2 linked regions of the Tamandua tetradactyla genome follow. The protein of the gene in region 1 purifies or fractionates together with the protein of each later gene. This does not show direct contact. Links are inferred from orthologs where the notes say so. Each region holds a gene or a part of one and is shown in the gene's direction. Other genes may lie near its edges.

Evidence for each region. The genes of interacting proteins can lie anywhere in the genome.
Region 2: the proteins of KRR1 (region 1) and NOC4L purify together in Homo sapiens (co-immunoprecipitation; 3 studies listed by BioGRID and IntAct, with this or other methods). This does not show direct contact. The link is inferred for Tamandua tetradactyla from reciprocal best matches to the Homo sapiens genes KRR1 and NOC4L.

Annotation. Positions count from the first base shown.
Region 1 is NC_135333.1:144,335,052-144,342,116, reverse strand, and holds the start of KRR1 (KRR1 small subunit processome component homolog), read left to right. Parts: upstream 1-4,033; 5' UTR 4,034-4,256; coding exon 4,257-4,341; intron 4,342-4,604; exon of another isoform or gene 4,605-4,674; coding exon of another isoform or gene 4,675-4,681; intron 4,682-6,854; coding exon 6,855-7,027; intron 7,028-7,065. UniProt on the Homo sapiens protein: Part of the small subunit (SSU) processome, first precursor of the small eukaryotic ribosomal subunit.
Region 2 is NC_135331.1:1,481,465-1,489,239, reverse strand, and holds the start of NOC4L (nucleolar complex protein 4 homolog), read left to right. Parts: upstream 1-4,739; 5' UTR 4,740-4,809; coding exon 4,810-4,926; intron 4,927-5,334; coding exon 5,335-5,455; intron 5,456-6,033; coding exon 6,034-6,140; intron 6,141-6,393; coding exon 6,394-6,501; intron 6,502-6,778; coding exon 6,779-6,928; intron 6,929-7,024; coding exon 7,025-7,124; intron 7,125-7,282; coding exon 7,283-7,317; intron 7,318-7,775. Other genes in the region: ATP-dependent RNA helicase DDX51, read right to left, coding at 3,952-4,097, 4,210-4,516.

The DNA of each region.
Region 1 (7,065 bases):
CACAGGAGACTAGGGGTGGGGTTGTCATATTATTCTGAAGTCCCATTGCTCATTATATACTTGGAGGAACTGAGTGTGGGGACATGAATGGACATTTGCACAATAGGGTTTATGGTGGCAGTGTTCATGATCCACAAGTAATGGAGATAGCCTAAGGGTACAACAACTGAGGAAGGAAAGGGCAACCAAACTGTGGTGTATACATACAATGGACTACTGAGCAGCCCCAAGAAAGAATGACATTATGAGGTAGGCAACTAGGTATATGAACCTTAAGGACTGTATGTTGAATGAAATGTCAGAAACAAAAAGTCAAATATTATCATGCCTCACTCATATGGACTTCATCCTGTACTCCTCTATCACATGGTGGCCAGCCTCTCCCGGCCTCATCCTTCTCTTCTGGTTTCTGTTGGATTTCGGGTTCTGGCTGCTCCCTCTATGACTTTTCTCTCCCTGAATTTCATTCTGCTTTTAAAGGACTCCAGTACTGGGATGAAGGTACCTCCTCATTGAGGTGGGCCACACCTTAACTGAAGTAACCTCATCAAAAAATCTGACAATATGTTCATGCCCACAGCAATGGATTAAGTTAAAGAACATGTTCTTATCTGAGGTACATAGATCCAAATATACCTATACTGTGTAAAGAGTAAAAAAGTATGAAAAGAGGGTAGGGAAGAATGAAATGGAAGCAGAGAAGCATAGACTGGAAAATTAATGGAAATTTTGACATGGGATCAGTCAGTAGTTTAATATGTATGTTGAACTAATCATTTGACTCCCATAGATTAAAATATATTCATTTATAAAATGAGTGTTGGATTAGATGATTAAGTTAACAACAAATCCTAATTTTCTTCCATCCTAAGAATTAGTAAAACTAAACAAAAAATATTAACTTTGAATTTTTGATTCAGAGGTGTGTGTATGTGTGTGTTTGAAAGTGGTATGCTCTATATGTGCAAATACATTTGTCTTCTTAAGAAAAATATGCTTAATTTACAAAGTACATTTTGCAAGTATCCTGTAGGTTTGAAATGGTGCAATAAAGTTATAGTAAATACATAACATTAAAATAGCTTGTGATACACTGGAGAAAAAGGTATCAATAAAAATCACATTGTAGAGCACATATGGTAATACTACAAAAAGATTCATAATTTTAAAAGTATAACAATTTTTTCAAGATGTTTCATTTTCTTATTCTGATTTGCTCTCTTCTATTGGTTAGTCTGTTAATTCTAACCAAAAAGCCAGGAAGTTTTTAATGGGCTGATATGAAATGGATTTTATTAATTCAACCCTCTATAAGCATTCTCATGCATCATTAACATTATACACTGCAAGGTACTGCTTTCCTTAAATTGCAGATCTTCAGATACAAATTTGAGATTGTAGTAAATAATTGACTAGTGAATGAACACTTGTAGTATGTGCACAGATGAGTTGTATGAAGTCTTTAATTAGGATATACATCTTAAAATGGCTCATTAAATCACAGAACACAAAAAAGCCATTGGAATTTGAATGATTTAAGGAGTGTGATCAGAATTTGATGAAACTACAATGTGAAATATTTAATTTTGATATTTCAAGTTCATTAGAATTATATCTCTATTGAGTATTCTAAATGTCCTATATACATTAGGCAAATATAATAACATTTAATTAAGAAGTTCTATACTGTTGTAATATCCTTTGGAATAGCAAAGAATGTGACTAATAAAATTGAATGATCATTTCCAAAAAAAAAAAAAAAAAAGAGTATGTATGGTTCTAAAATATAGATACTGTCTTCCTTATCCCTGTGTTCTGAATTACTTTAACCCCAACCTGTTTGGCTTCATTCTTATCTCTAAAAATCAGGTTATATATATATAAAACAGCCTCTCAAAATCCAGAAATAATATTCACCACTCTGGACTTAATGTGTTTGCTCTAAAAGCTTACAATCTAGGACCCTGTTTTCTCATAAGCATTTTATATAGGTGACCATACCATTGTTATTTTTTTGTTTCTGGCTTATTTTGTCTCACCAAATGTCCCACATGTTCATTCACATCATTGCATGCCTCACAACAGTGTTCCTTTCTGTAGCAGCACAACTTTCATTCACATGTATACACCATTGTTCACCAATCTACTTCTCAGTCAGTGCATCCTAAGCCACCTGCATTCACTGGGCATCATGTAGTGGTCCCAAAGTCCACAGTCCATCAACAGTCTAAATTTTAGATAATTTCAATGTTCCTTTATGCTGGTCATAAAAGTGGAATCATAGAGTATCTGTCCTTTCATGTCTGGCTAATTTTGCTCAGCATTATGTCCTCAAGGCTCATCCATTTTGTCATGTGCCTCAGGATGTCAGTTTGTCTTACTTCTGCATAATATTCCATCATATGTATGTATATACCACGCTTGGTTGACCTACTCATCTGTTGATGGGCATTTCCCTACATTTTCTTCTAGAAGTTTTATGGTGCTGGTTCTTATATTTAGGTGTTTGATCCACTTTGAGTTAATTTTTGTGTAGCGTGTAAGATAGGGGTCCTCTTTCATTCTTTTGGCTATTGATATCCACTTCTTCCAGGTGGTAACATTTTAAGCTAAGTGTAATTAACAGCATCAAACTATGCATGTGATTGTGGCTGAAAGAGAAAGGTTAGAGTTGTGTATGTCACTAGAAGGAAAGCTAGAGGAAAAACATGGGACTGTATAACACAGTGAACCTTGTGGTGGATAATGACTGTAATTAATAGTACAAGTATGAAAATGTTCCTTAATGAACATTTAAATTGTTCAATAACAAATATACATCATATTTCAAGGATTTAATAACAGTGGAATATGAAGAAAATGCATCTATTGTAAACTATGGACTACAGTTAATAGTAATATTTTAATATTCTTTCATCAATAATGAAAGTATCACACCAATGCTAGGGGTCAATAAAAGGGATGGGGATAAGGGGTATTGGATGTTTTGGTGTTTTTGTTTTGTAGTAATGAAAACGTTCTAAAATTGATCGTGATGATGAATGCGATGTGATGATACTGTGAGTCATTGATTTTTATACTTTGGATGGATTGTATGGTGTGTGGATGTATCTCAATAAAACTATGCACAAAAAAAGAGTGCAGTTTTAATTACTATTCATGTCTTAGAAAGAGAAATATCAGAAATAACGATTTTGAAATCTTGCCTTCCACAAAATACACAGGGTTTGTTTCTTCTAATTTTGTTTTTGTTTTAAAGACTAAAAATAATGTAAAAAAAAAAGTGCGCATCATAAAGTAGTCACACAATAAATGGTAGCTACACATTGTGAAAATAGAATGGTTAATAGTTTCACTAATCAACTTGATATGTTTAAAGTTCTTTTTATCCAGGGAACTACAAAGAAGAAACAGAACAACTGAGTCAGGTTGACATACCAACAATCTTTCATTGTCCTAAAACCTCTGCCCCTTCAGAGAAGAAACAAGTCATGCTGACCTCAACAAACTTGCTTATCTTCACTGGATAGCTCCGCTGCTGCAAAGACATCCTGCCTGTCCAAGTTGCAAAATTAATGAAACATGGCCCAAGGACACCCTGTGCCAGGCAACTCGCGTAGCTCACTCTTTCTTGCTCCCCCTCTCCATTCCCATACGCTCCTTTTGTTCCTAGCAGCCACATATACTGTCTGCCCAAAATTGCCTTTTAATCGGTAACCTTTTGTTGCTGTTGTGCATTAAAGCTACTTAAGTTCAATGAACTTCTATACTTTGGTTTTCAGAGTCTGTTTCTAGCAAAACACTGTCCCTTCTTGAGGACGAGGAGCACATATTTTGTACCCCCTCCAAAGGCCCAGTACATAGTCAGCAATCATACAAATATTTATTAAATGAAAGGATGAATGAATGAAATGAGTCCTACACTGTTTTCAATCCGTGGCCAAACTCTGGAGCCTCGCGCTGCCAGTTAAGACTGACGCTAACTAGTCCACAGTACTAAACTACAATTCCCAGCATGCAGTCAAACTCCGTTGTCGCAGTGCATCTTGGGAACGAAGTCTCCAGCTCTCCATTGGCCAAGTTGCAGAAGCGGACTTGTTTGTGGAAATGCGCGGGGTCTAGCGAACACTCGCACGGAGACTGCGCAGATCTTCTCCTCACCTGAGTTTCACGGACTTGATTTTGAATAGTCAGGAGTTTAGCCGGTAGGATTTAAGAGGAGTTCAACTTCCGGGGTCACAGGAAGCAATTTAAAGATGGCGTCTTCCTCGGTAAATGGGTCAGCTACAACGTCTGGGAGATCTGAATTTCGAAACCAGAAGCTGAAGCCGGAGGACCGAGGTGAGATTGTATGTAAGGGTGAAGTTTGGAGTCTGTGGGCGTTGAGCTGCGATTTTTTTTTCTTTTGCTGAGTGAGCATTGTATAGTTGCCTTCGGTCTGTTCTGTGGGATCGAGAACCTTGGAATACTGATGATTGGGGAACTGGCTGGGTCCACAGAAACGATTGAGATGGCCGGTGTGGTGCCTCCACGTGTACCTAACTCGTTGCTTTTGTTAGCTATCCGCCATAGTGAAGGTGGTGAATTCTTTCTCCTGTAAAAAGGTCAAGACAAGAACTGCGGAGGGCACTACGGGAGTTTACAGCGCGACGGTGGCTGGAGGTCGTGGACAGCATGAAGGGTGGGTCCTTCTGTGTGGGAATGAACGATCGTGATTGAAGGAGACAGACAAGGATATGGGGAAGGAGATGTCTGGCGTGTTCTCAGCTCTGCTTTATCAACCACTGAAGAAATTTGGAACATTTATCATTCCATTAAATCGTTTATCAGATTGCTAAAACATTAGACCTCGGAACTTCTACTCTTAAGACTGCCCCACTTTTCATTTGTTCTTCTGCTTGTAGTCTTGTTATATATATATATATTTGTATGAGTTACAGGGGGAGTGGCTAGAGAAGTAGCCCGGGTCCTACTCAGGTAGGCTTATAGGTTAAAGACCTTGGACTCTCATTCTAGGGATATTGGAGATATAGTAAAAGCTTTGTTCGGTTGTTGCTGCTTTTTGTTTTTTCTCTAAGTATAATATCCGTGGCAGAGAGTTCAGTACATTTATTTGTGAAACAGTAAAACGAACACGTTGAGATACCAGCAGCTACTCCCTTAAGTAGAACGGTAGACTACTACCATAGCCTAAAAAAGCCCACCGTGTGCACCTCCCAGATCACATTCTTTTCCTTTCCGGGACTAGAAGTAACCATTCTTTGAGTCGTACTGGTCATTCTCTTGCTTGTCTTCATAATTTACTTCATAATCTACTAAAAAAAATTGGTTTTCTTTGTTTTTAAATTGTTTCTGAATGAAAGGAGACTGTATGCTTTCTCCTGCGTCTTGCTTCTTAGGCTTAACTTTGTTTCTGCTGCTCAACCAGGACTATACCTGTAATTAGTTATTTTACTTATGGTATCCTGTTCTCTTGAGTGGGTATACCCTTCATTCTATCATTGGTGGCCATTTAGATTGTTTACATGGTTATTATAAACAGTGCGGCTGTTTATACAGTGTAAAACTGTCTCCTGGTACATATATTCTAGAGTCTCTCTAGGTTGTATACCTGCGAGTAGAATCTCTGGAGTGTAGGGTATTTGCAGGTAATGCTAAATCTTTTCCAAAGAGGTTGCAACAGTTTACACAATTTACTGGCAGTGATGAGACTTCCCATTACTCCACATCCTCAGTAAAACTTGATATTATCTGAATTTTGAATTTCTGTCATTTTGGTAAGTATGAAATGGTATTTGTTTACTTTTGTTTTTGTATGCTGTATGGCAGGGTCATGTTTCATTACTTTTCCCTGTGAGTATCCCGTTATTGCAGCACCATTTGCTGAATTTGTATTTGTGTTTGTTTTGCTTGTTAGTTTGTTTTTGGGGCAGTGCGTGGGCCCAGAATTGATCCCGGATATCCTGCATGGCAGGCAAGAATTTTACCACTGAACTACCTTTGCACCCCATTTGATTGAAATTTCAATTTGACCTTTCTTGATTTTTATTAAAGTTGTGCATCGTTTCATATACTTTAGGCTATTTATGCTTTCTCTATTGTGTAGTTCTTGTTTCTTTTGCCAGGTTTTTAGGGGGTGGGTTATGCATATTTTTCTTATTGATGCATAACCAATTGACATGCTTTAATTAGGTAGATAAATTACTTAAATTAAGTTACAGCTTTTTTGAATATTGCGTTTTTTAGAGTACTGGGTTGTGAATGGTATATGTGTAGACAAACTAATTTTCTGTGATTTGAACCAGAAATAGCAAAGTGGATGTGTGTACAAGAGACGGAAAGCACATTATGTTTACTCAATTAAAGTAGATAACATAGGTTAAAGCCCTGCCTCTTAAACTTTCCTGTACATACGAAGCTCTTGACTAGATTGTTAAAACACAGATTACCTAGAGATTTTGATTTGGTAATCTATGGTAGGGTCAAGAATTGCATGGCTTTTAAGTTCCCAGTTGATGCTGATGATAAAGGACTATAGATCATACTTTTGAGTAGTACTGGATTAGAGTTGTTGGATTCAAGACATTCTTAAAATCCAGGTCCAGGAGTTTTAGTAAATGATGTGGGAGATAATTTATGGCATATACCAAATGATACGGATACAAGGAATTTAGTTTTAGGTGACTGAAATGTATACAGATACTTTTAAATACTATGTGGATGATAATGACTGAGATATGTATTTTGTTGAATAATATAAAAAGGGAGGGGAAAGAAATCCAAGTTTGGGGAAACTTTTGAAAATTGTTCAAATAACCCTTAAAATGTGATATGTGAATTTTCCCCCTCTCTAGATGAATCAGAACTCCTCACTGTTCCTGATGGTTGGAAGGAACCAGCCTTTTCCAAAGAGGATAATCCCAGAGGACTCTTGGAGGAAAGCAGTTTTGCAACTTTGTTCCCAAAATATAGGGAGGCTTACTTGAAAGAATGCTGGCCATTGGTGCAGAAAGCCTTGAATGAACATGTATGCATATTTTATTAATTTCTTTGAAATTTTTGCTC
Region 2 (7,775 bases), on another chromosome or scaffold:
CTTGATATCCTGTGTACATAAAGAAACTGTACAACTCAAAGACAAAAGATCTAACAACCCAATTTTAAAATGGGCAGAGGATATGAACAGACACTTTTCTAAAGAGCAAGTACAGATGGCTATAAAGCACATGAAAAGATGCTCATCTTCATTAGCTATAATGGAAATGCAGATCAAGACAACAACGAGATACTACCTCACACCTATAAGAATGGCTGCTATTAAACAAACAGAAAACTACAAATGCTGGACAGGACGTGGAGAAATAGGAACACTTGTCACTGGTGGTGAGAATGTGCAACGGTGCAGTCACTGTGGGAGACAGTTGGGCGATTCCTCAGAAAACTAAATACTGAGTTGCCCTATGCCAGCAATATCAATACTTGGTATATATATACCTAGAAGAGTCGAGGGCAGTGACACGAGCAGACAAGTGCTCACTGATGTTCATAGTGGCATTATTCACGATTGCCAAGAGAGGGAAACAATCCAAGTGCCCATCCACAGACGAGTGTACAAACAAAATGTGGTATATACATACAATGGAATATTATGCAGCAGTAAGATGAAATGATGTCCTGAAGCACATGACAACGTGGATGAACCTCGAGGAAATAATGCTAAGTGAAATAAGTCAGTCACAAAAGACTGATACTGATGATTTCATTATTATGAATCTAGTAAAGGTAATCTCAGAATATAGTAGAACTAGACGTATACAAAAGCTCAAGGGGGGAAAGGGACCCAGTGAGGTTGAATCTAAATGCAAGGGAACCGAGAGAAGTGATGATAACTAATTAGCAGGTTTATAAGTGACATTGCCATAGTGTAGGTGAATATGATTGAAAGGCAATAAATAATGCCACGTATTCCAATGATTAAATTTACAATTATAAATAAATCCTCACATGAAGTATTTCAATAGTTCCATAGTGGACAAAAAATCAAGATTAGAGGGATAAAGGGGAGAAACTACAAATGCATGCTATGCCCAATAATTAACAGGAAGACATCAATAGTACCAGAGTAATACCAGGGCAACTCACTGGGGTGGGGAGGCGTGGGGACAAGAGGTAAGGGTTAGTTTTGATTCGACAGTTGGTGACGTTATGTTTGCCAGTTCTTTTTCATTATGGACCAATGACAACTGTTTAAAATTGAAAGTGCTGCTGATTACACAACCAAATGAAGATACTGTAAGATACGGTTTATTTATTTTGAACATTATCCATGATACCCAAAAGATGGCAAAGGCTCCACTGACTGAGGAAGCACAGTGGTGGATGGTGGGTGATACATCTGTCTATATGATGGAATTTGGCGCGGCTACAAAAAGGAGGGACATTGGGGCACACGGTGAGCTGAATAAACCTTGGGGACAACGTGCTTTGCAAAATAAACCAAACAAAAGAACAAATAAGCTGAAGTCTCTCTCAGAAAAAATTAAAAAGAAAAAAGAATTCCAAATTGGGGAATTCCCTCAGAAGTTCACAGTGACCAAGTCATCTATTTTATAGGACAAATTATGAAAACAATATGCAAAATATGACCTATTTCACAACATCCTCATTGTACCTATCAACCACAATCCTAAGGCTTAAACAGAAAGAACCAAAGGTGTAATTAAAACTCAATGAGCTGAATTCATGGAAATCTTCAATCTACCATGGCCAAAAGCTTTACCTATAGTTTTACTACATCTAAGATCCACTTCTTTTGGAAAACATAAGCTATCCCCATTTAAAATTATAACAGGAGACCTAAGAAAATAAATTCTGGAATATATGAGCCTTGCCTCATAAAAGGAAATATGCTAACCTGGTTGTCAAGAACTAACCAAAACCTTAAAGAAAAACGAAACCCTAGTCAAACTATCTTTTACAGCATGCTGAAAAAGATGTTCAAAACTGTAATCATCAGCCTGGTGACTTCACATATAGGAAAAGATACCTCCAGATGTCTCTTAAAGACGCACTCCAACCTTGCTGGATGGGGCCCTGTCAGGTACTTTAACTAACCCATGTGTAGCTTAAATTAGACGGCACTGATTGTTGGATTCATACTTCTCATTTACAGAAAACCTCCCAGCCCTGCCTGAAATCCATTCCTACTAGGGACCTAAAGCTTGAAATGACCAAGGATGAGAAGCTGATGGTATCTAATGCAGACAGCTATCCCAAGGCCTGGGACCAGGACTGTGTAATTAATACTTTATCAGTGATCTCAGACTTAAGTTACCCAGAAGTACAACACATCTGTTATGATCCGCTAGCCCAGGAACCAGGACCGGACCTCATGTTCATCAGATTGAACGAACTCGATGATGCTACTATACCCTCCTATTAGCCTAGTAGCTCTCTTCTTTGCATTTCTATTCCTCCCCTCTCCCCACCTTCTTTGTACCCCAGTCCATATCTGTCTCTCCCGCAATGAATCCTACCCCTTGAAACTTCTCATTCTCACCCTCTTCTTTCCTGTTCATTGCCATTCATCCTTTTATCCCAGCCATATTAAGTGCTGCTGACCTAGCGATCCTATCAAATTGCTGGGACTATGCTAACTTAGAGTCCACAGAAGGGCCTCAGTTATTAGCCACACTCACAGTCACTTATTTAACTGGCCAAATCTTAGATCTCGAGGAAATTAGGTATGTAACATATTTTAAACCCTGTAATCTGTTTTATTTTATAGTCGTTATGATGTCTCATTCACCATCTCATCTCTAACAACCACCTCCTGAGTTATGCTAATCAGTAAAAGCTTTGAGCGTAAAGCTTCCTTACTTATAAAACTTATTTCTGTAATGATAAGACTAAGCCTAGTTCTAACTAATGCCTAAGAGTCACCCCCTGACAACTTCCTTGTTGCGCAAATGTGCCCCACCCCCACCCCCCACTCATACACAAGCCAAACTGCAAACAAACTCACTACCTTCCTTCCACTTCGGGGGGACACGACTCCCAAGGATGAGCTTCCTCGGCGCTGAGGGATTAATACCAAATGTTGATTGGCGATGCTTTTAGAGAAAGATGCTGATCAAAAAGGAGAAATATTAAAAGAAATAAACCAAAATAGAGTTTCCATGGCTAAGGGATTTAAAATGGAGCCAAGAGATCATTCTAGAAGTTACTCTTATGCAGGTCTCAGCCAGAGGTCACAAACTACCAAAGTATGCAATGCCTCAAGCAACAGTGTTCCTCAAAACCCCAAGGACAACTGAACCATAAACTAAATCACAATATAAAAAACTCCATTAAGTATCACACCTGAAGGACAACCAGAGTACCCCAAATATCCACCAACCACAAACAACTTGTGTAACCTTTTTCTTAAAAAACCCTTGCCTAAAAATGTCAAGACAGACACAATTTGGGTTGCTACCTGAATCTGTGCTCCCCGAATTCCAATTCTAAGACCCTTAATAAATGCCATTGTTGTCTTGCAGCTTAGTTTGACATTTTTTAGACAAATGCATGCATTCCTCCTTTCCTGAAACTCTCAAGGGGTAAAGCCACCCTTATGAAAGTGCAACTGTCATTGTGAAGCAAGCAGAAGCACACGTATCAAGTAAACAGAACTATTAAAATTTAGGAAGATCTCTGCAACTGAAGTGTAGGCTGCAGCTAATTTGACAGGACGGTTGGAGAAGGAAAACCTTAAAAGGTAAGACAGAAAAGGCTGGGCACAGATTCCGAAGCACTAGGGAGATAAGCACTTGGTATTATGGGCAGTTCAGTCGCAACTCCCTAACCTGTAAAGCTTTCAAGTGAGAGACACTTAAGGAACGGCGTGCGCAGGTGCCGTTCTCCCAGCTGCTCGTTTACCATCAGAACGCCTCGGCCCCTGCAGCTTTCCCAATCGCGCCCAGGTGGAAGCGCACGCGGTGGCGGCGGCGGCGGCCCAGCGGCCTTCCCCGCCCGCCCGCCGGTGCGCACCGTCGGAGCCGCTCACCTTCGTCGCCTTCCTCTTCCCGAAGCCCCCAAGCACCAGGGCATGGGCTGGCGGCCCAGATGCCTCACCCGGGGGGCCTCCGCCTCGGGCCTCCGCCGCCACCGGTGCCTCCGTAGGACTCTCCTCTGGCGTCCCGTCACTATACGCTGCGCGACAGAGAAGGGGCCAGGCCCGAGGGTCAAGCCGTTCCGGACTCGGGCCTCCCAGGGGTCGGTCCTGCTCCAGAGGCGACCTGCCCCGCCGCCGGCCCGGTCTCACCTGCGTCGGCGTCCTCGGCGTCCGCTCTCTGCCGCTTCTTTCGCGGCGCGTCTGCGGTCCCCGTCCCCACGCTGCTCACTCGCCGCCGCCGCCGCCGCGGCCTCCGCCGCCGCTTCCCCGCCGCGGCCTCCGCTGCCTGCGCCGCCGCCTCGGGAGGCGGACTTTCCTGCCTCTGCTGCCGCTGCTGCCGTTCGCGGGCCCGACACTGCAGCCGCTCCAACAGCGCGCGGGCCCGGCCCACCGACTCTGCCGGCGCGGGCCACGCTGCCTCGGGCCCCACATACCGGGCGACGTGAAAGAGGGCCATGGCCGGCCGGGTGCCCGGGACTCCGCACCGAACCTGACGTCACGTGCGCGCCGGGCGGCTTCTGTGGCGGCGGCGACCGGGAGCCGGCAGAGGCACACGGCGGTGACGTCACGCGCGCGCCGGCGGGGAGCCGACAGAGGCACACGGCGTTGACGTCACGCGCGCGCCGGCGGGGAGCCGGCAGAGGCACACGGCGGTGACGTCACGCGCGCGCCGGCGGCGAGGCTGTCGGGACGGTGACGTCTCGCGTGCGGCGTGGTCCCGGAGACTCCTCTTGGGTTGGCGGCGGCGGCATGGAGCGGGATCCCGGCACCGGGTCCGTGGGCCGGGCTCTGGGCCGCCTGCTGGAGGCGGTGCTGGCGAGCCGCGGCGAGGCCAACGCGGTGTTCGACATCTTGGCCGCGCTGCAGGTGCGTCGGGTTGGAGGCGGGCGCGGCGGGCGGGCGACCCGGACGGCCAGGAGTCGTGGGGTCTGGCGGCTCCGGTGTCTGGGCCCGCGATCGGGACGCATGCACTCCTGTGCGGGGTCCACATTGGGGCTGGGGCTGCGGGGGTTCTGAGGCCTGGACTGGGCGGGGTGCCAGAGTGGGGGACCCCTCGGGTTCCCGCGAGCGGTTGCGGCGTCAGGTTCCGGGCAAGGTCGGGTAGGGGGCAGTTCTAAAGTGCGGCTTGGGGATCAGAGAATCCCCCGGAGATTTGAGAGGCTGGGCTGTGGGATGTGTCCGGGAAGCTTGGGAGGATGGGCCCGATGTGAGTGGCGGCTCAGTGGGGCCGGGGTAGGGTCTAGCCAGGCGCCTTGTGACTGTGTCTCCCTGTAGTCCAAGGACCAGGAGGACGTCCAGGAAGCAGTGCGCACGTGCAGCCGTCTCTTCGGGGCCTTGCTGGAGCGGGGAGAGCTGTTTGTGGGCAGGCTGCCCTCTGAGGAGCTGGTCATGGCAGGTACCCCAGGCACTCTCGGGGGTAGGGGGTGACTTTGTCCATGAGGGGTGAGTGCCCCAAATTCCCTTTGTAGGGCCAGCAGGCTTGTGGGAAGGGGCTGGTTCTGTCATCCTCCGGTGGGGGGGGGGGGGGGGGGTGTAACACAGATACTTCCATAGCCAGGTTTGAGTATTGAAAACGTTTGCCTTATTCCTTGCGTTTTGTACACTCGTGTGATTTGAGGCTGTGTAACACTGACGTTCCGATCCTTGAAAATCTAGGTTTGGGGGTAAAAGGAAGGGATGAGATACCGTGCCTTTGGGGGCTTGCCTGGGTACAGTGCCAGGGCAGGAGCTGCTCTCCCTGTTTGCAGGGCTGAGGCAGCCTCTGGGGAGAGTCAGGCCCAGTCAGCCTAGTGCCAAAGGTCTAGCCTGTCTCCAGGTTTGGGGGCCCTGCTGACTTGTTTTACTGATCCGGCTGATCCTGTAGATGGCACCAGCTACATTGGGGGTGCCAGATGAAGGGTGGTTTGGGCCTGGGCTGGGCCCAGCCTGGCACATGTGGCCATAGTATGGCTGACCACACTGCCTCATCTGCAGGGTCTCAGGGAGCCACACGCAAGTACAAGATGTGGATGAGGCACCGCTATCACAGCTGCTGCAACCGCCTGGGGGAGCTCCTGGCCCACCCCTCCTTTCAGGTCAAGGTGAGTCTTGGATCTTTGGGCCCATCCTGCATCCCACCCCCACACCGAAGCAGAGGCTTGGAACCCTGCAGAGGCCACAGAGGTGACACAACTTGCTCATGAACACATGACTGGTGGAGTAAGGGTTTGCATCCATCTTCTCTCACTCACGCCCTGGCCCAGTCATGGGGGCTCCGTGGCTGGACCGGCTGTTTGGGGCCTGGTCTGTGGGTGGGAGGGGGCTCCCTGGCTGACAGGCACTCCTTCCTCCCAGGAGCTCGCCCTTGGAACGCTCATGAAATTTGTGCAGCTGGAAGGAAAGCACCCCTTGGAGAAACCCAAGTGGGAGGGCCAGTACCTGTTCCCCCGAGAGGTCTTCAAGGTGAGGGGCTGGGCAGGAGCAAGCCACAAGCTGCTCGGGTCAGTCCCTGGCTGGCCTTGAACCGAGCAAATGGTTGTTGGATGGGATGGTTCTGCCTTGGCCAGGACCCCTATGTGGGGTCTCCTCAGGCAGTATCTTAGTGGTGAGGTGGGATTTTCCTGCCCAGGGCTCTGACCGCGCTCCCAAATTGTCCTCTGAGCCCTCGCCCTGTTCTGCTCCCTGGGCTGGGGCCCATGCACGGTGGGGAGAGTGCTCACCTGCTGTGCCCTGTACCCAGCTGGTGGTGGAAGGCCTGCTCCCCCCCGGGGAGGACAGTGCCCTGCTGCTCTCCCAGTTCCGGGAGTTCCTGGAATACGACGACATACGCTACCACACAATGCAGGCGGCTGTGGACACCATGGCCAGGGTCGCTGACAGGCACCCCGAGGTCAGTGGGCTGAGTTTGATCTCCCGGTGTGGGGAATGGGGGGGTAAACGAGGAGGGGTGCAGCCTCCCAGTGCTCAGGCCAGTCGTCCCCTGCAGGTGCCCCTCCCTTTCTGGAACAATGCCTTTGCACTGCTGTCTGCCGTGAGCCTGCCTCTCCAGGAGAGCCGCACCTGCAGTTTCTACGTGAAGCACGTAGGTAAGTGTCCAGGCAGTGCAGGGAGCCTGGCCTGGGCCTAACCCTGCAGGAGAGGCTGGGGACCACTACCACACCCCGTCAGCCCTGCTGGGGCCCAAGTGGTGATCCCCTCCCACCCTCCATGCAGGCAGTAATCCTTCTCACCCCCTTTCACGCAGAGCCCTCGGACAAGTGGAAAGTGACCCATCTGAAGGTGAGCAGTTCTGGAGGGGCCAGCAGCCTCTGCCTGCCTGGACAAGATCTCCAGCCCAGGCTGAGTCATGCTGGCTTGCAGGAGGACTGCCACCTCCTGCCCCTGCACAGAAAACTCCCAGGCAGGGGCCACGGTTGGAGTTACCAGCAGGGCCCCCAGGAAGATGTGGGGGGGGCCAATGGCAGTCACCTGCGGTCCTGGGCATCTGCAGGAGTGGCCCCGAGGGAACTGCTTCCCTCACGGCTGTAAACCCACTGTGCCACCTCACCTGCTGCAGCCCCTGTAGGGTGGGGTCTCCTTGACTTCCTGAGGTAGGGAGTGGGGCCTAGACTTCCAAAGTCAAATGTGGAATTCTTCCAGTTCAAAGGGCCCGAGAAGCTCCTCCCTAAGCCTGGGAAGGAAGGGGAGGGGTACCAGGTGCAGTGGAAGGGGTGCTGCTGCTGTCCCCCCACTGGGGC